4 linked regions of the Oryzias latipes genome follow. The protein of the gene in region 2 purifies or fractionates together with the protein of the main gene of each other region. This does not show direct contact. Links are inferred from orthologs where the notes say so. Each region holds a gene or a part of one and is shown on either strand. Other genes may lie near its edges.

Evidence for each region. Proteins that work in one complex are often made in the same cells at the same time.
Region 1: the proteins of foxo3 (region 2) and mothers against decapentaplegic homolog 3 purify together in Homo sapiens (affinity purification with western blotting; 3 studies listed by BioGRID and IntAct, with this or other methods). This does not show direct contact. The link is inferred for Oryzias latipes from reciprocal best matches to the Homo sapiens genes FOXO3 and SMAD3.
Region 3: the proteins of foxo3 (region 2) and sirt1 purify together in Homo sapiens (affinity purification with western blotting; 4 studies listed by BioGRID and IntAct, with this or other methods). This does not show direct contact. The link is inferred for Oryzias latipes from reciprocal best matches to the Homo sapiens genes FOXO3 and SIRT1.
Region 4: the proteins of foxo3 (region 2) and skp2 purify together in Homo sapiens (affinity purification with western blotting; 3 studies listed by BioGRID). This does not show direct contact. The link is inferred for Oryzias latipes from reciprocal best matches to the Homo sapiens genes FOXO3 and SKP2.

The regions. Positions count from the first base shown.
Region 1 is NC_019861.2:12,628,006-12,633,420, forward strand, and holds part of mothers against decapentaplegic homolog 3, read right to left. Parts: intron 4,787-5,415; coding exon 4,661-4,786; intron 3,870-4,660; coding exon 3,657-3,869; intron 3,519-3,656; coding exon 3,381-3,518; intron 1,374-3,380; coding exon 1,229-1,373; intron 1-1,228. UniProt on the Homo sapiens protein: Receptor-regulated SMAD (R-SMAD) that is an intracellular signal transducer and transcriptional modulator activated by TGF-beta (transforming growth factor) and activin type 1 receptor kinases.
Region 2 is NC_019882.2:7,572,267-7,577,681, reverse strand, and holds the end of foxo3 (forkhead box protein O3), read right to left. Parts: intron 2,970-5,415; coding exon 1,518-2,969; downstream 1-1,517. UniProt on the Homo sapiens protein: Transcriptional activator that recognizes and binds to the DNA sequence 5'-[AG]TAAA[TC]A-3' and regulates different processes, such as apoptosis and autophagy.
Region 3 is NC_019873.2:29,796,652-29,801,278, reverse strand, and holds the end of sirt1 (NAD-dependent protein deacetylase sirtuin-1), read right to left. Parts: intron 3,892-4,627; coding exon 3,744-3,891; intron 3,670-3,743; coding exon 3,590-3,669; intron 2,900-3,589; coding exon 2,716-2,899; intron 2,640-2,715; coding exon 2,145-2,639; intron 2,024-2,144; coding exon 1,734-2,023; 3' UTR 1,165-1,733; downstream 1-1,164. UniProt on the Homo sapiens protein: NAD-dependent protein deacetylase that links transcriptional regulation directly to intracellular energetics and participates in the coordination of several separated cellular functions such as cell cycle, response to DNA damage, metabolism, apoptosis and autophagy.
Region 4 is NC_019870.2:24,271,632-24,276,553, reverse strand, and holds the end of skp2 (S-phase kinase-associated protein 2), read left to right. Parts: intron 1-172; coding exon 173-316; intron 317-611; coding exon 612-746; intron 747-879; coding exon 880-978; intron 979-1,106; coding exon 1,107-1,234; intron 1,235-1,860; coding exon 1,861-1,912; intron 1,913-2,301; coding exon 2,302-2,409; intron 2,410-2,841; coding exon 2,842-3,061; 3' UTR 3,062-3,758; downstream 3,759-4,922. UniProt on the Homo sapiens protein: Substrate recognition component of a SCF (SKP1-CUL1-F-box protein) E3 ubiquitin-protein ligase complex which mediates the ubiquitination and subsequent proteasomal degradation of target proteins involved in cell cycle progression, signal transduction and transcription.

The DNA of each region.
Region 1 (5,415 bases), on a different chromosome or scaffold from region 2:
TTACTTTGCACCAATGGGGTTGCCCTCAATTCAGAGGTAAATTTCTAATGAACTAATGTTTTATTTGTTTTTTTTGACTGAAAATCCTCATTAAAAGAGCAGTGGGGATACTTTTACAATAGATCAAAGAGGATTGGAGTGGGACTTTAAATGAGGCCGTACTTTGACCAATAAGGCAGAAAGACAAAAAATACGATTTGAAGCTTGATCTTGAAGCGTCTTTTGTCAAATGTGCTACATTCAAAGTGGACTGATCTTCATGTCTTTTACATTTTTTGCTGTATAGCTGTTTATATTTGATATGCTTCTTTTTCTAAACTTTCTCCTTCTTGAATCTTTACGATTCTTTTGTTCTCTCTGACCTCAGAATGGACAGGACAGACTGGAGCTGATAACGAGAACAGTGGGATTGAACTTTGATGATTCAGGGTTTGGATCCAGATGTTTCACATTTTTAAGGCAGAAATAAAAAAAATTTGAACAAAGGGATTAAACTGCTGGCTCTGTGTTAAAAGTCTCATCAAGCTAAAGGATGCAGAAGTTTTGGAATCAACTGGACAGCAGCTCACCGGATACAACACAAATGCTTCCCAATGTCGGCTCCTTTAAAGTATTCATTCATGTGAAGCAGTTTTTAAACTGAATGACAAAAACGTGGAGGGACAAAGGAGTTAAAGCAGATCTGTAGTGAAAACAGAGAAAGGTAGGTGGAGGTGGAGTGGAAAGAGGCCTGTCTGATCACGTAACCTGAATCCTGTTTTTTAAGTGTCTCCACATGTCAGCGTCTGGTCTGGACAGGAATGAAGAGCAGCCGCTTGCAGCACAAAACTCTCCCTTGTGGAAATCTCTCACAGGCCCAACTTTCGGGCCGATCCTTCGCTTCTCTTTAATTACATTTCCTCCTCTCGTACTATCAGTGAGTCAGACGGTGCGAAGAGTCAGACTGTGTGGAAAACAGAGCGCCAGAAGAGGGAAAGTCTGACATCTTTTTGACACAAAGCATGTGTGTTTAAAAATAGTCTGTTTCGACAAGCGCGGCTTGTCTACTGAGGAGACTTCCCTGACGTCAGCCGCTGGATTCACCAGAGTGTGAGAAGGTGCCCGTGAGCGAGGGCGGCAGTATCTTGTCTGTGTTTACTCAACTGTTCTCTCAAGGGCCTCGTCTTTGCTCATCAGCACCGTTTAATGCTGAAATTGCAAAAAGGTGAACGGCTGTCCTGCATCCCACCTGTATTCGGCTCCCCAGCCCTTGACGAAGCTCATGCGGATCGTGCACATCCTGGTAAGCTGATACACAGCCTCAAAGCCCTGGTTGACGGACTGAGCCAGGAGGGCGGCAAACTCCTGGTTGTTGAAGATCTTCAGGTTACATCCTGGAGGAAACACAAGGAGCATTTCTATCATAAACAAAACTCCCTCTCACTTCTGAAGCTTTTGATCATATGACAGTAGATAGAATTGTGGTTTCTAAACTTAAAAAACCCAAAAACAAATCAACCAATAAAACAAACAGACCACTGTGCAAAGGGAAAAAGATGTGTATTTTCCCCCCACAGTGGATGTTAACAAGAGAAACCGGCCTCAGTGTAGTGGTGCGGTAAGTGATGTGGGCTCCTCCAGGCACAGTTGTGATGACACAACTAGAGCACATATGTTCCAAATCATCCAGATTACACAATCAACTTTACCGTAATTATTCAAAATTTAGAAAAACTCCCAGCATTCCAAGTTTCATCGTAAATGTATAAAAAAAAAAACTTTCAGGATGACTGTTTTAGGAGGCAGGTATGTGAGTTTTTTCATAACTTTCACTCCTCTTATTATTGTGTTGAATATTTATCTCAATTCAGGCACAAACAGAACCGACAAACTGTATTTTTCGGAGTAAAAGTTGTTTTGTTTTTTCCCCAAACTTTTGACAGGAGTGCGACTTGTATGTGATTTTGTTTAAACGTAAATGAGGCTAAACACTGGATGGTGGCTCCTCCCACACATGACCAGAGCATCTAGTTTATGAACACATTTTTGGACAAGCATTGAGGTAATGAATTTGAGGCAGCAGACGCAAATTTGAGGCGTGAATCGCGTTTGGTGTGAACGCAGCATTACACTGGGCTTAGCGGATTTGTTCAGAAGTGTCGCATCTTTCTTCTAAAAGTCCGACTTATACTCCAGTGCGACCTGTATATAATTTTTTTCTTTATAATGCATTTGTTCGCTGCTGCAACTTATACTCTGGAGCGCCTTATTGTCCAAAAAAATATAGTAATCATTCAGGCACAGACCTAACCACCATAAATGCTACAACAAGGACCAATCTTTGCTGCTACTGTTCTGAATGAGACAACATTCCTTCTTTGGTGTTGACCGAGTTATACAGTCTATTCTAATCATAAACAGTCTTATGTATTAAAGAACACGGTCTGGTCAGTGATTCGTGCTCACATTACGTCACCCTAAGCCACAGAGATGTATCGAACAAGCCAAAGCATTAATCATCACTCTTAGTCATAGTTCTCCTTCCATCTAAAAGTGTTTTCTTTTTTGCCTCCAGTCACCAACACGTTTTCAAACATATTATTACTACTCCAGCAAGATGTAAGCGCGAGGGAGGCGCCCACATTTCTGTACTGTTATTTTATACTGAATTATGCATATTTTGCTGAACTTTTTGGGGGGTTACAGTGACCATTTATTACGTCCATCTGTTTATCATTATTTGCTTAACGAGTCACTCCAATGAAAATCGTGTCCTTGGTGTTTTTAACAAAACCTTGTCACATTTTTCTCTTAATGGATGACCTGTATAAAAGAATTTAAGATTGAAACTGAGTTGCTGAATATATTCTTATTTAAAATCGAGTTGGATCAGGAGCAGATGAAAACCGGATCGGAATCTTATTTTCTCCACTCCAATTCTAAATCATCCACTTGTAGACAAATAGATGCAAGTACATTTTCATTTCCTCGTCTGAGCTGCCATCTGCCTCAAAACTGTATGGCTCCATAGCTCCAATATTACTCACCTTTTTTTATTTGCTACACTAATGTTAGCTTGTCACTAACGGAAGAGAGTGTAAACAACGGCATGCTGGGAAATTAGTCCTGCCCACAACCCAAAAGCAAATTTCAAATGAGCTACTCCTGCTCTGCAAGAAATGTCTTAAAAGAGACACAGGCTTTTTGATTTGAGATAAAAAACTTCCTAATCATAATTAAAAGACCACTGAGAAGGATGTTACAATTGAAAACAATATAGTTGGAGTGGAACTTTAAAGGAAGTGTATGACTGCGGATGAGAGAGGTACAAACTTCTTTAAACTTTCCTAACGCTTCCTTATGCTCCCTTTCCCCTTAGTTTCTGCCTTCAAGTCACAAACCTGGAGGGATCTTGCAGACTGTGGCGGGGTGCCAACCATAACGCTGATTACAGTTGGGGCTCTGAACAAATATAGCGCTATCACTGAGACACTCCGCAAACACTTCTCCTCCGATGTAGTACAGCCGCACGCCCCGGCCTTGGAGACAAACAGGGAAACAACAGAAGTGTGAGAGGAAAGCCACGCCACGATGACATCAGCAGCAGCACAGACGTGAGAGTTTGATCAAATTTGAGAAAATAAATAAAAACCTCTGGTCTGGGTATGGGGCCTTACCAATGTGTCTGCGCGTTAACTCCACCGCCGCGTTGCGGTTGACGTTGGACAGTAAACCAAGGCAAAAGCGCTCAGAGTTGGAGGGGTCTGTGAATCCGTCCACTGTCAGGGAGGGCTGTGAGGCGTGGAAGGTTTCTCCAACTCGTTGGTTTAGTTCGTAGTAAGAAATAGAGCACCAAAAAGCCGGCTCACAGTATGTCACTGGCTGAAGGTCTTAGTGGGAGAGACATACGTACAGTTGGTTTACATCAAAGCAGAACAGAAGAAAGGCTAAAGAAAACTGACTACTGTAGGGATTAACATTCAAAATGTAAAAGACATCTGAATGACAGGCAAATTATATGTTAATAATAAACCACGTGTGCATCACACACACATGTGAATGAAGGAAGGAAAACTGAAAAGAAATTACTACAAAGAAGAGGTAAAACTAGCAAAATACGGAGAAAAAAGAACCGAAAATAGAGGATGTGTCACAAAATGTTACACCCATGTTTACCCGAAACCTTCAGCAGACAAAAGGAGGGAAGTCAGTCACTGATGGGATGCCAGAAAACCAAATAGCTGAATGAAACGCTAATCTGTGGCTGTTTTCACTAAGTTCAACTGGTTCTGGTCATTTTCTCCGCAGCATGGAACAATCTTTAATGACTTCTCCATCTTGCCTTTGAAGTCCAGAGGAGAACTCGTGTTTTTGAAACCGGAGACTTTTTGTTACTTCGTCAGAAAAGTCTCTTTGGAATTTTCCCATTTTAACAGAATAAGCGCAGGATCTTGTTATTAGTGTTAGTGTGGGTTAAGTGGTGTCTTGGCCTGTTTAACAGCTCAGATGGTGAGCGGGAAGACAAAGGTTTCATTCATTACCTAGTTTCCTCTAACAAAAACGATGCTAAACCAAACAAGAGAATTCCCACTGGGGAGGAACACTCCTGAAAGATTTTCCACGTAAGTAAAGACAGACAGGTGGAAAAGGAAAACACACGTCAACACATTCACACAGTTACCTAAATTACTGTGTGTGGGTGAAACAGGGTTAGGGGACAGATTTGGGGAGCTTGTGTCCATGCTGTGGGTCATCTGGTGATCACTGGTCTCCCCATCCTCGCTGAGGTAACCTGGTGGTGGCGTTTCTGAAACAGACCAAAAACCGCTAGAACACAAACAAGGATAAAGTGCCCACATCTTTTTAGACACATCTTCATCTCAGAGACCTGATTGAGGTTTATTTTGTACCTGGATGACAACTGAAAAAGTAACACAAATTTTAATATTGGGCTCCTGCATTAACCAGGTTAGCAAGTGTCAGAAAACGAGAACGAGGGCTTCTAAGTGGTACATGCAAGTCATGTTGGATAAAAACAGGTGACACACTGAAAGCCTGAAACCAAAATCATTTCCTGTCTGTGTCAGCAAAAACTCACTTCCCTGATTTGATTTTTTTAAACACAAAAACATTGTTTAATTTGTAAAAGAAAAATCATAGAAATCAGTCCTAAAAATCAATCCAGGCCAGTAATCAATTACTGAATTACAGAGTTCATTTTGATGAAAATTACTTAGAAGTTTGAACAACTAAACAAGAAGAGAGGAACCAAAATACACATCATGCACTTCTCTCTTTTTTAAATTGTTGCACAAAATTTTCTGGGTTCATGCAGTTCAGCTGCAGCTGGTCAGCAGTTGTTGGAGTTGTTTTTTTTTCCAACACCAACAGTCACTGCTCTCAACAGCCAATTGTCCTCATTGCAACTTTTAACTA
Region 2 (5,415 bases):
TTTTTAAATGAGAAGCCTCCTTTCTCCCCCCCTGAGTGATTCTGTATATGCTTAACAAGCCTCACGACAAGAAGAGCCAAACACAGAGCCCTGCTGTCTGCGTTTGTGTAAAATGTCTGCGTGTGCATGTGTGATTTGGCTGCCAGCATATCCTACTGTTGGTTTCAAGTAATTTGGCAATATACAGAAATAGCTTATTGTTTTACAAGAGAAACAAATGGCTTCTAGAGGAATGAGCCGAAAAGAAGCGCTCCTGCTCTTGTCCCTCCGTCGTCTTACGACTTTTCCCGCGCTACATGTGGCTCCAACTCTTGGCCTCTGCAGGTCAAAACAAGCAACGTGCACGGCTTTTACTCAGGACTGGATTAAACACTGTTTATATAGCACCTGTTTGGCGTAAAAATGCTCACAACCCCAGAACACAGGTATTGATTTTGGCTACATGGTAAGATAAAATGACCCCAACATAACTCAAGCAAAAAAAAAGATAACATCTATTATTCTCCTTCTTTTTGTACACTTTAATGTACAGATCATGTGTCGCAATATTCGGTTATTTGTAATAAAGCCTCTGTATGCTGCTGGTAATTTAAATTCAAGCAATATACAAAGAGAAAACAGTAAGTGCATGGCATAAAATGAGGAATTTTAACTTCTTTGAGGTTTGCAAAGTGTCAGTATTGTCTGCTTTTGTTTATGCAAGATTTGTACGCCGAGTAAAACCCTCCTGTCCCGTCTCTTCATTTCACCAAAACGCAATATTTTTGTACAGACAGGTATGATCCAGAAACACATTATAACAGAAAACCCAAAAAAGCAAACACTGAACATATAAAATCACAAACAACAGAAGGATTTTTTTGTCGTTTTCATCATTAACACACTCCAGGTGGATTAGATGTACACAATATCACTTCTTGACTTTTGTCGCCTTTTCACCTTCAGCTGAAAAAAACAGTTTCTGTCTCTGCTCCTTGAAGTCCATGTTTGACCACTTCTACTGCAGATTTTATTTTACATCAATGCCAAAGGAAAGTTGCATGTTCTTGTGGATTTTTTGTGATTGTTTCATGTAGCTTTGTGATGTTGTTTCAAAAGAGGTTTTGAGGGATCGTGCAGCATCTCTAGAGTCTGTCGGATCGTTTATGACTGACCAGTACGGGAGCGAAGGTAAAGCTCGTGAGAGGAAGTCTTCTTCTGTAAACACAGGGTTTGTATTTTACATTGTGCTGATGGCAGGTTTGGCAAAAGGATGCTGTGTGTCTGATCTTCTCACGGAACAAACAGGTGAAACCTGGAGAAATACGTAAAAAAATAAGTCTTAATAATCACACCATGTTCGGAAACACAATTATTTTTCTGAGCTGGAAACAACTACTTTGATAAACTTTTCAATGCAGAAACTTTACATCTGTGATGCCAAAAAGTGTGACTAAATGTAAATATTATAAATATGCCCTCAGACAACAACATGGCTACAAAATCACTTACATCATACCAAATCTGCTGCTCCATTCTCAGCCAGGTACCCAGCTCTGAGAGCTCTGCTTGGTGCTCGTGAAGTTGCTTACTCCGTTCATGTTTACCAGAGAGTCAAAGTTAAAATCCAGGCCATCTGCATCCATCAGGTCGTTTCTGATGATGGAGTCCATGTCACACTCCAGGCTGCCGTTGAATATGTCCAGGTCCAGATCGGTGGGGAAGCGATCCTGAGAAACTCCTCCGCTGCTGCTGACGGTGCCGTTAAGAAAGATGGAGGGGTCGATCTGCATGGTGGACGAACCATTTCCTCCTAATGGTGAGAGCAGGAGCTGCTGTTTAGCATTAGCCAGAGTATTAGCCTCGTTGACGAGGTTCAGACCTCCATTTCTTGACCTCATGGAGCTCTGGTTTTGGTTGTTAGTTTGTAGCACGTCCCTCTGGCTGGCTTGAATACCTCCACTGGTCCCAAAGGTCATCACAGGATCGTTACGGAGGATCAGACCACGGCGGGAGTTTTGGGAATTGACAGCAGCTGAGCTGGCTTGCGACATCAAAGGGTCAGACTGGGTCATCATCACATCACTATGGTTGTGACTACCAGAGTTAAGCAGGTCTTGTAGTGTTTGGCTGCCAAAACCAGACATGCTGATGCTGGAGAAAGATGTTTGCTTGTTCTCCTGGATGGTTTGCATTGGGGAGGAGCGCAGAGAGGAACCTATTGCTTGGGAGCCAAAGATGGAGTTACTGTAACCATTACTTCCACCATTAGATGAAGAGTTGGACGATGGAGAGGATGTGGAGGAAGTTAAGCTTATTCCATTGGATTTGGACCCAAAAGTGAAGCCTGAAGAGCCATTTTGGAGGTTCTGGCTGGAGGAAGGTGGTACCAACTTGATGTTGTCAAGCAAATCGTCCATCAGTTCATCTGTGATTCCATCATTCAAGTTCATCGTACCTGTCAGGTCCGCTAGGCGGGGCAGCTCAGCAGGGGCTGCTTTCCCGTTGGATATGGCATTTCCAGGAGACAGCGCCCTGCCAGGACTGGAGTAGATCATGGGGGAGAGAGGAGCCTCATCATCGGGTACTTCGTCAAGTTCAGGGTTGGCCATAATGGGTGAGAGGTGGCCACTAACAGTGCTGGCATTGGAGTTGGTGCGAGAGCGGAAATCTGTCCATCCACCATCAAGCTCCTCTGTGCTGTGGGATGTTGGACTCCCAGGCCACCTGGAAAGACCTGAAGGACTGTCTCCACCACCTTCACCTGCTGCGGCAGCAGCAGCCTGCAGTGCAGCCTTTTTCTTAGCAGCACGACCACGGGCGGACTTGGTGTACTTGTTGCTGTTGTCCATGGAAACAGCCCGACGTCTTGGAGCCTTGCCGCCTTTTCCTCCTTCCGGATTGATCATCCACCAGGAACTCTTTCCTGTCCCTTCGTTTTGGACGCGAATGAACCGACTGTGGAGGGAGAGGTTGTGCCGGATGGAGTTCTAAGAAACAAAAACAGAAAAAGAGACTTTTTAAATAATGGCTGCTAAAACTCTGGGTCCAAAAAACATCAGTTGATTCTACTTAATATTACTAGAATCAACAAACATATTTTAAGGACAAAGAAATTTGATAAAACATCACTTCTTTTGTAGCAATGTAAACACTTTCCATTCATTACTGATTTAAATGAAGCAAAAAGCATTTTCCTCTAATTGTATTTAGCACTGATGTCTGCATTAACTCCTCTTAAGCTTTTGTTCTATGGATATGCAGAGGAAAAAGAGACAGTGGGCTGTAGTCACACACTTTTTCTGTGTCAAATGACACAAACAGAGTCATTGAAAGCTAGATTGTGCCCTTTTGTGTTTGTATTTCGTCTAGTTTGTGTTTATCAACTCCATGCTGATCTTTTATGAGAATCTAAGAGGTTTGTTGTGTAACTGCAACAAAAGTTATATTCACAATGCAGATGTACGCACACATAAAAAAATACACAGTTGGATCACTTGTTGTACAACTGCAGATGTTGTTTACGCAAAGATATCAGATGGGTTTTTGTTCATCCTTGATATTCATTGTGTTGCACATTTGGATGGATAACAGTTTTTTTTTTTCCTATTTTTTTTTTTACTGTTTTTAACTTTTACTTTTTACTGTTACTTTTACAGGTTTCCAAACTTGTTTCTTCAAGTCCTGTCCTGATAAAAGTGATAAAACTTGATCAAATAAAGGAATTCGGTTCTTGAAATGAATCTCTTCCCTGAATACGGCATTCTGACCCGACTCTAGCTTTGATTTAAGTCTTTATCTCCGTCTCCCAAAAGTGTCCATGAGGCCTGGACAGTTCTTTAATTTTTTTCTTTCCGTATTTTCTCTCCCCCTCTATCTTCCACAGTTTCTGTTGTTTCACAAACACATAGCTCTTCTGGCCCTGGTGTGACTCTGGGGCCACGCTTTACCCCCTCATATAAACAACCACCATCCACAATATGTGAGCATTTTTCTGTCTGTTTTCCCTGTCGTGAATATTTTTACTCGCTAAAAGGCAGCAGATTTCTGGGTTCGAGTACCAGGTTGCTATTTTGTTTTGCGTGAAAGAGTGCCATCACTTGTGTCCAACAGTTTGCAGACGAACGGTCAGCTATGTTATTCTGGTGAGTTTAATCACAGGGCTTAAGTTACATGTACTTATACACATCGCTGGCATTAAGTTACATTTTTAGCAGTCATAGCAGGCTGAGAAACATGTCTTTAGCACTAGTGATGCAATATAAAAGTTATTTCTGATGTATTATGCATTAAAAAAAATCCATAAATTGTGCACAGAATGAAAAGTTGCGACTTCTGCCCCATAAAGTAACATAAGACAAAACACCGGAAAGACCAGTGTTTATCCTTTGCATGCATCTCTTGAGGCATGACGCAATGCGGATTTATTATCAAACTTGTTAAAGACACCCAAATGCAGACTTGGTCAAAATGCTTCCAGCTGCCAGGAAAAGGCGAATGACGGCAGAAAATAGATCTGGTTAGGGAATAAAATCATGGTGGGAAGAATGAGAGGAGTGTAAGTGGAATGTGAGTTTCCTTTCTCTCACCATCACCTGCCAGACCCTCGAGCATTCACAAATCCATTTATTCCTCCAGTCAGCCCTCATCTCTCCCAGCAAAGCCACTTGTTTAATGTTTCCCTTTTCCATGCCACTCCTCGCATCCTTCAAATGTCAAGTGAGACATTTCATAACCGATTGCGAAGGAGCAGCAATGAAAAGGAAACAGGACATCTGCACCCAGAGCCTCGACAGTGATGGAGCGAGAGGGAAAAATTGAGTGCCAAATGAAAGCGAGAGTGACGGATGGTGAGAAGACGATGAGAGGAGGGAAGAAAAAAGAACATTTCAGAAGGCCATGTGATGGACAGTATGTCTCCAGCACCACTTGTATCAGATCCTCCCACATAGTCCTTCTTGAAAACTTCATTTCAAGTCAAAAATGAATTCATGAGTATATAGTTTAAGCACATATTTACAGAATATGTATATTTTTGTGTGTACATGGCACTTCATGACATCACCTGATAGTGTTTGCTCACTACTGTAGCTCCTCTTGGGCATTCTCAAAAGCCCATTAATAAAAACAGCAACTGAGGCAACAGCGCTGATTCATAACACGTAGCCAAGAGAGTTAAACACCAAAACACACACAAACACAAGAAGCACACACACTGTACAGCCAGTCAGAAAAAAGGATGACTCATTGAGAATTTCTTAAACCTTCCTTTTTCCCTCTTGGTTTGATGAGAGGATGAACTTCAAACGTCAACAAGCCAAAGTGTGTCTCCTTAATAATGAAAGAGTGTGTCCGTTTAAACTCAACAAAGACTGACAATAGGGACACCTGTCGCCTGGCAACTGAGCTGCGATAACACTGCAGACTGAGAACATG
Region 3 (4,627 bases), on a different chromosome or scaffold from region 2:
TCTCTGAATTTATCAATACTCATTGCTCAGTGCTATATAAACTCATCCTCCTCTCCCTCCCTCTCCCTCAAGTTGCAGAACTAATTAAATATAACGGTACAAAAAACTCGGTAAAAAACAGTAAAACAGCTAAACAACTAAACACATTTGGTCAAAAACCCACACTTAGACCCAAATCCGTCCAGACAGGCAAAGGGAATGATATCCCAGAATCCCTTGCGGTGCCAATCTAACAGCAGCACCAAAGTTACACCTACTTGATTGAATTACTTTAAATGAAAGTAAAATAACTGAAAACTACGTGTTATTTTTAAGCTGAATTAACTAAAAATAATTGATTTATCTTAACTGAAGCAAATAATTAAGTTAGATCAAAGTAAAAAGTTTATTTTTCCAACATCCATACGTGGTCTTATCACCCTCTCATGGTGGAAAAAGTATTATCTGAGTTTCTTCATCCACTAAATCATCTTCAAATGGACACGCCATGCTGCTTCACCTCTCTGAAAACAAACTAACTTTCAACTAAACCTGTTCCAGACCAGGTTATGTTCAGAGCATGAGTTGCCATGGCAACTTGACCTACCCTGAAACATCACTGTTTTTGGAACCAAAAGCGGTGGTTGTACACTTCCTTAGCCTCAAACTTACCCCGGGAGCTAGCATAACCTGCTCTCTGGAATACCCCCCAGAGAGGAGCACATCAGAAGGTAAGAGAGGTGTTCAGGACACAAATGCCTGGAAATCCCAAAACTAGAGCAGGAACTGCGACTGCAGAGCGTCTTGAAGGTCCAGATCAGTGGAAATAAAGATTTAAAGGCAAAAATGATTTGCTTTATGGAGGAAAACCATTTCCAGCAAAACCTGGAAAAAGCTTCTCGGTCTTCAGTCCAAAGAACGGTTCCTCACCAAATCCAGCACTCAAAAAGCCGTCTCATGGTCACCCACCTGAACACTGGACACTAAACACTGAAGGGTCTCGTCAAACTCCCCAGGGAGGCTCTAGTGGTTGATGAAGCTCCTCAGCAGCAGCTAAAGCAGGAAGATTTCAACCAAAACAGTCATTTCTTCTCCAGTAACCGTCAGTCTGCTCTCTAGAGCCGTTCCCAGAGACAGAGACTGCTGTGGAAAAAAACACGCTTCAATAAATCCACACATGACGCGTTCACAGGCATCCGAGTCCTTTATGAAAAGTGACAGAGCAAGAAAACGGGACTTAAAAAAAAAGGATTTCTATCCAAACTGAACACCTCCAAAGTGACGATTCTCTGGTTGGAGTTCCCAGATTGAAATGATCATCTACCCTTTGAGGAGCGCGTCTCACACTGGAGTATAAAAATAAGAGGCTTGACTGTAAAAGTAGCTGCCACATGTCAGGAAACAACATCTCAGAAGTATGTACATGGTTTCACCCAGACTTAAACGACAGAACAAACATGTAAAGCTGAGGAAAACAGAAGCTCTTTGGTCTGAAATGAAGCATTTCTGTGGAGTCTCTTCGTCTTTCAGGACGGCCCTGATCTTCCACGTATACACCAGGCATGATGGTGGCTCCGCCCAAAGCGAAGGCGCCGCCGATCGATGAGCTGCAGATGGAAATGCCGATGGAGAAAAAGGGATGTGTCCATGCAAACATGAGGGAAAAACGGCTCCGCGTCTCCATTTATGAAAAATAACTATATATGAAACATATAAAGACGATTAGTGCTTTGTTAAACCAGAACTGTTTCCACCTAAATCTGTGCGAAGCCTTCAGTCTGTTCAGAGCTTCTGTTTATCTGCACGTCTGCCGTCTCATTGGCTGGACTGTGTGGTAATGTGTCTCTGAGGCACTCCTCTTCCTCTGCCGCCGCTTCTGCTCCGTCCTCCTCTGCATCGCTGTCGTCCTCCACGCCATCCACGCTGCCCTCCGAGTCCTCGCTGTCGCTCCCACAGGAGCTGGACGTCTCGTCGTCAGAGTCGGAGTAGACCTCGGCTCCGTGGAAAATGTACCGGTTCGGTGCTTGAAAGAGGTACTGGCCCGCTGTGGAGAACAGCAGAGGGTCCGTTAGGACGACAACGTGACGTAGAGAGAAAGGACGTTTGCTTCAGTAAAGATGGCGTCCAACTGGGGAGCGTTTTTCTCGTGGAGGCGTCGGGCTCACCTTCCAGCCGTTTGCTGATCGGACTTCTGTTGATCCGACTCATCCAACATCGTTTCCGTACTTCCAGCGTTGAGACTTGGCTCTTGAACGCGTCTGCCTCCTCCGTGGGCGTGTCCTCCACCGGTCGTTCTGGAGACTCTGCCGCCTCCTTTTCAGGGCGTGGCTCCGGGGGCGTGGCGTTTCTCTGAGCGGCGTCCGTGTCCTGCGGGCTCTCCGCCTCCTCTGAAGGTTGGTCTGCGGTGTCGGTAGGACGGGCGTTCGGCTCGGCATCGCTGGAGGTTTCGTTTGGAGGCCTTTCGGGTAACCGGGGGGGCTTCTCTGTGATCTCAGCCAGTCTTAAAGAGTTAAAGCAAAGCGGCTCAAAGTCTCCACCCAATCGATGACAAAGCTCGTTGACGATGCCGTCACAGTCCCCGAGCAACTCTACGTCGAAGTTCAGGTGAGGCAGCGGCTCCCGGTTGATCAGAACCTGAGGCACTTCATGAGGAATGGAATCTGCAGCAGACAAGACAGAAGGGGTCACGCCAAACCCCCAGGAGGGGTGTCACCTGTTAGTCCGGTCCAGACGTACTTGGGATGAGGGCCACGGGTCGGACTTTCAGGGAAGATCCGATGACGATCAGGAGGTCCACCTCATCTTTGTCCTGCTTCATAGCTCTGTGGAACATCTCTGGGAGGTTCTCTCCAAAAAACACAATGTCCGGTTTCATGATGGCCAGAGGAATGTCCGAACAGCGCGGACACCGAGGAACAACCTGGAAGGGGTCGGCACGTTAGTTCTGTTCAAAGGACCGTGTCTGACAGAACCGGAGTCCATAGATCCGCTTCAGACTGCGGTTCATTTACACACGACAGACCGGACCAAACAGAGTTAGGAGGAAGGTCACAGAACAGGGAAGCTGCCCGTCTCAGAAACCCAACAGAACATGGAGAACGTCTGCAGAACCGGGTCTCCAGCAAGTCTTTTCATGGCCCCAAAGAATCTCATGGAGCCGTTGGTCGTTTCAAACCCCTGCTTCTTATTTTAAAGACACACTCCAGTAAAAACGGTGGTTTGGGTGTTTCTAACATCTTCTTGTGGAGTTTTCTCATGATGGAGGACATTTATAAAGAAAATTAAGATCAATCTGCATTTCTAAGAACTGAATTTCCACAACAAAGTCGTACATTTTCTCCACTGTGGTGCGGTGCGCCTACGGCGTTGTTGTTCAGTAAAGAGGACGTAGGAGAGGACAGCATGAGAACGGTAGGGACGTGAAAGAAGACTTCTGATGAACTGCAGCCACTCTGCAGAAACTATGTCCTGGAAAATGACAGGTTTTTTGATTTTGGCAAAGAATCTAAATGAAAGGACCACTGGGAACGATTCACAATAGATCAGAAGCTGATCGGAGCGATCTCCACCAAGTATTCATACAGGAAGTTAAATGATGTTTGAGACATACCTGATTAAAAATGTCCTCCCTTATAGCCTCACAATCCACTTTGTGTTTACAAACGAGACAGGAAGCCGTCGCAAACGATCCTGAAAGAAAGACGGGATTCGTGGATCGTCTCCAGAACACAAATGTCCAGAAGACGAGGCGGCCGGCGGCTCACCGTGACACTGGATGATTTTCTGCACTCCAGCCACTTGTTCCAGCGTGTCGATGTTTTGTGTGTAATTGCGCAGCAGCTTCTCCTGCTTGTCCAGCATAGCGATAAATCTGTGGCAGGGAGACGGCTGGAACTGCCCGGGGAAGATCTCCTGGAACACGTCAACAAAAACAGAAAACGTTTGCAACGGATCCTCACAGCGGGTTCGGTTCTAAACCAGACCAATGATCCAAAGCTGATGATCTGACATCAAAAAGGAAACGAAAACTGTTCAGCAGAAATCCTAAAAGAACACAAGGTTCTCTGAAAAGTGCAGAGACACTGGCTTTATTTTGAAATACGCTGCAGCTGAACAAACACATGTGGGTGTGAAGAAGACACGCCCCCTCACGAGAGCGAACCCCTTCTCCAGGCCGGCTCCGAAGATGAAAGGCTGCAGGTTGGTTTATGAGTGCTCACGGGGGAGGAGTCAGACCTGAAACTGGATGGTATTGGCTACGTTCACACTGCAGGGCTTAATGCTCAATTCGGATTTTTTGAAAAAATCTGATTTGTTTGCTAGACCGTTCACATTTCCAAGTAAATCCGAACTTTTGTGATCTCCAGTGTGACCGTGACACGACCCAAACGAGACCCGCATGCGCAGAAGCCAGAAGAATACTCAACGGTGAACGACGTCACTTGTTTGCGGAGCAAACGTTAACAATGGATGTCAACAACAGTGTTGTCAAAAGCGGAGCTCTTTTTGTAATATTAAATTTATTTTCACGAAGGAGCAGCACAATTACAATCTTCTCATTTTAAGAAGGCATTGGAGTCGGGATCGTCTGGACCCACTGTAGTGGAAGAGGAATGTGTATGTGTTGGGGCCGCGCCCCCGCGTGTGT
Region 4 (4,922 bases), on a different chromosome or scaffold from region 2:
AGTGGGTTTTTAACTTAAAATAGGTTTTGAGATTCTGATGAACATGAAAGACTTCAGTACTACAGATGTTCAGTCTGCCACACAGTTTTCATTAGCTTCAACCCCAGAAGCGCCTCTTTGTGTGTGATGATTGTTTGCCGGTGTGAGAGCACTCTGCTTGTGTTTTCATCAGGTTTGACGAGTCTCTGTGGCAGAGCGTGGATCTGCAGGGTCTGACCAACATGGGTCCAGCTCTGCAGCAGGTGCTGAGGACCGGAGTCCGCCGCCTGCGCTGCCCGCGCGCCTTCGTCGAGGAGCAGCAGTTTGCAGGAACAGAGTGAGCTTTGCAGATGGTTGGACCTAGGCCTGCACAATAAATGGCAAATTTATTGCTTGCTATTATCATCGCAACATGGATCACTGATACTGCAAATTGCACGTTTTCCTCATATCATGCAGCCCCAGTTGGACCACAACCATCTGGTCCAGTTTTTTTTTTTTTTTTTGCAGACCTGTTTTCCAAGCACTATCCTCACTTTTTAGATGCTCAAGCTGAGCGATTAGACACGAAGACACACCAGTGAGCCACAGACGCCTTCCTTCACTGCAGGACCTTTTCTCTTTTTGTCCAGACCTCTGCAGCTGCTGGACATGGACCTGTCCAGTTCCATCATCCCCATTTCAGCTCTTGAGAGCATCACCTGCCGCTGTCTCCGCCTGGAGCGATTGAGCCTGGAGGGTCTGCAGCTCTCAGACAACATCATCAGGTGAACAAATGGTTGTAGTTTGGTTTATATCCACCATGCTTCAGAGTCGAGCTTCTCTTCAAGGCCTCCGGGTGCTACTTTGCCGTTCACGGTTGGTTTGGTCATCAGACTCATGTCAAACTCTTTGTTGCAGGAGTCTTGGGAACAACGTCGGCCTGCAGCAGCTGAACCTGAGCGGCTGCTCCGGCTTCTCTGCTTCTGTTCTGGCTGACATGCTCAAGTCCTGCTGCAGGTCAGTGAACGCCTCTAAAAAAACGCACAAAACTTAAAAATAAAGTAAACTAATTCATGTATGTGATGAGTTGATTTTGCATGCTATATTAGTGTTGTCATTGTGTCCTCGTGGGTTTTGTTTTGCAGGATAGAGCAGCTAAACATTTCATGGTGCGGCTTCAACAAGGACCACGTGAAAAGTGTTGTTAGTAATGTCAGCCCCAGAGTCGTCAGCCTGAACATCAGCGGGTACAGAGAGAGCCTCACGTTAGACGGTAAGCCGTGGAAACCTGATTCCATAGGAAGGGGACTCCTCCATCAGTTCTACATCAGAAGTGCCTTCGAGGAGAAATTCGACTGACGGTTGATCACACTGGTTTTTACAACAGCAAAGCTGTTTGAGGCTTTGTTTGCTTAACCAACCAATCCAGAGGATGGAAACAGAAATCAGACAACACAAGCTGTTATAGCTTAGTCACAACTGCCCTCACGGGTCTATATGGAGCATGTGGGGGGGCCCGCACATAACGTCAAGGTTGTAGATCACCCAGTGAGCCCATAGCCCATCTTCAAATCCTCCAGTCTGCACATAAAGCCTGTTAGTGCTGTTCAAATGATTAATGCTGTTATAGTTTAGTGTTTTCCTTTTTAATCGGATCTGATTTCCACAAAGTCTGTAATCAGGACCCCTGTTAGTAAAGTTCTTTCTTTATTTTTACATTTAAACTCAAGGTGATAATGCATACAGGGGGAAATGGAAGTGTGACCAAACTCTATGCATTACATTTTTTTAGTTTTATTTTCAATTTTCTTTTCCTGCAATGCCAAGTGTGATAGTTTCTGGGAATAATCATGAAATCTTTTTGCTGTCACTGATGGGAATGGCGTGCGTGTTTTACAGATGTAAAGATCCTGGTTGACAGATGTCCTGAAGTTCAACACCTGGATTTGAGGTACCGTCCCGCTCCAGCCCAGAGAAACAGAAACACCAGATGCGTTCATTCAGAACTGCTCTTCATTAAAGTCCCACTCCGATCATCTATTGTAAAAGGGTTCCCAGTTGTCTTTTAAGTACGCTTATGCTGTTTTTAGCAACAATCAAAAGCCTGTGTGGTTCTCTAGGACACAGAGCAGTTATATAGAAATCCACCTCTGAGTTGTGGATGGATTTGTTGGTGCTTAATTATCTTTATATATCTCCATCATGAGAAAAATCCCACAAAAACATTTTAAAAACACAGTTTTTAATTGGAGTGGGTCTTTAAGTAAAGGGTTCTCCTCAGATGAACTGGATTCCTAAGTTCTGTCTCTATCAGAATTTCACTAAGTCTTTGTGTTTCAGTGACAGCACCCTGCTGATGGCTGACAGCTTCCTGGTTCTCAAACAGCTGAAGGATCTGCAGCACCTGTCCCTGAGTCGCTGCTATCACATTCACCTGGCTGCTCTCACGTAAGTCCTCACCTGGAGCTGCAGGGTGGATCTTCAGCGTCCTCCGTCCTAATGAATCATTGCAATGAGAGAGGATTGGACCACAATGGACCATGCTCATTAAACATGAACCAGGATATTCAGTTGGTCCTTCTTTTCAGTCACCTGTAGGTGGTAAAATTAAGTCTTTTTTAAAATTTGATTGGGATTAAATGTAATCGTCACAGTAAGCCGTAAGGCTGTAGCTTTGTCTCTTTACAGTTCAGTAACCCCTGACTCATCATTCTTTAGATGCATATAGGATCATGTGCTCTGTTCTTTGTTTAAATATAAGCTCTTTGCAGAAAAAGGGTGGAAATGTGTAAATGCTGATTGTTGGCTGAAAAGTGAAAATCTGGTTGGTTTGAACAAATTGAAGTTCTGCAGACTCAACTTTCTGTGTTCTTCCTGCAGGGATCTGGGACAGACGCTGCCCTCTCTGCGCCTGCTGGACGTCTTCGGCCTCGTGCAGGACAACCAGCTGCCGTCTCTGAAGAAGGAGATGCCTCACGTCAGCATCAACTCCATGCCTTTCTCTAGTGTGGCTCGCCCTACGCCCGCCAGCAAACTCCCGGGGTCCCACGGCGACCGCAGCATGTGGAACAGGAAGTGCCGCCTCAGCTTCCAGCTCTGACCGCGGACTCAGTCCTGTTTTGTTTTTTTAAAGGGACAGTTTGAGCTGCAGAGCAGGATCTACATGTCAGTTCTAGACGAGGCTTTAATCTCTCTGGTACCAATGACCCATCAGTCCTCGATGCTATGTTGGCAAACTCAAAGAGAATTGTGTCATTTAGAAAACATTTGAAGGTTTAGCCACGTGTAGTAAGTTTGAAAGCATTTTAAATCTGTTGAATGTTCTAATAATGTTAGAACTTTTAAAAGGACGACACTCGGATCAAGGCATGACCGGAAAATGCTTTTGTTCTTTGCTGCTGTTTGAAAGGAATCGGTGAGCGGTTTTCCTTTTGCTGTCAAATGTCTGGCTTTAGTTGGTGCTGAAAGCAGTGTTATGTCATTGTTGGATGATGGGAGGAGCCTTGTTTGTGGTTCCAATTCCCTAAGGCTGTTATTTTTTTTTTATGCCTCTGTTCTAAGTCAGCATTTAATGATCCTTTTTAATGGATTTTACCTTCAGCGATTGTTGGTTATCTGTTCTCATGTGTTTGCTTTTAGAGTCTGAAGCACAGGAACCGAACAGCCAATGATGCTGCAGGAGGATTTCACAAAGGTTATATTTTTGTAGTAATCAGACTGATATCTCTAATGCTCATTCATGATGACTCAAAGGTTTGGAATGCAAATGAACTACCCATTAAAATCCCTTTTCTTACCCTTTCTTGTCTTTTATGTCACCTAAAGCATTTTTAAAGACGTCCTTTGAATCAAATCGCTGCTTGGTTAAAACTCTTAACTGCACGTTATATCCGAAAAACATTCCTTCTTGATAAGGAAGGTGGTCCTCTGAGGGCACTAGTTTTACAAAATATAGTTTTGTCCTCACTTTTCTTATTTTTGTGCTCTAGGTTCTTTAGTACTCCACATTATTTTTGATTCAAAAGAAGTGGAAAAATTCAATGGAATTGATTTTTGTCTCCTCTTAATTTGAAAATGCTTTGCTTTCCGAGTTGGTCAGGCATCACATCATTTTGTGTCAAAATAAAAAACAAGCTAAAAAATCCTTGTGTATAGCGAAAACTAAAAACCAGCTTAGGGATGAGGGAAGAACCATCCACCCCCCCCCCCCCCCCCCCCCCCCCCCCATTTGGAGCCTCCTGGAGGAGGGAAGGAGGTTGTCACTTAAGATTTTACAGTACATGGCTCCGCCCATCCTCCCATCTACACAATGAAGTAGTCTTTTGCAGAAAAACACCCCAAAGCATAATGCTTCCACCTCCATGCTTGACAGTGGGGATGGTGTTCTTGGGGTCATCAGCAGCATTTCTCTTCCTCCAAACACGACAGGCGTGCACATGTACCTTCTTAAGCAGGGCAACTGTGCCAGCTCTGAAAGATGTTATTCCAAAGGGTTTTCTGTGTGACTGTGGTTCCAGTTGCTTTGAGATCATCAACTAACTCCTGCCTTGTTGTTTTAGGCCGATTACTGGTCATGTTGCACCAACAGTTGTCCCCTTAACCCTCCAGCTTCCTACTGATGGTTTTGTAGTTTATTCCGGTCTTTTGCAGGTCTACAATCTTCTCCTTTAAATCCACCAAAAGCTCTTTAGTCTTTCCATGTTGGACAGTTTGGATTCTGACTGACTGATGGAGCATCAAAGAAATTAAAACCGGATAACTGCTGGTGTTGACGGACTGATTCTGTGGACAGGTGTCTTTTTTACAGGTAATAAGTTTAGATGTCTGCATCCAAGTGGCAGGTTGGTTATGAGAGTCTAACTGGTCTATGTGAGCCAGAGCGCTTAATGTAGTGCAAGTGGTTCAAATAATTCTGTCCTTCAATGAAATGCAAATAATTTTATATAAATTCTTTGAAGTGG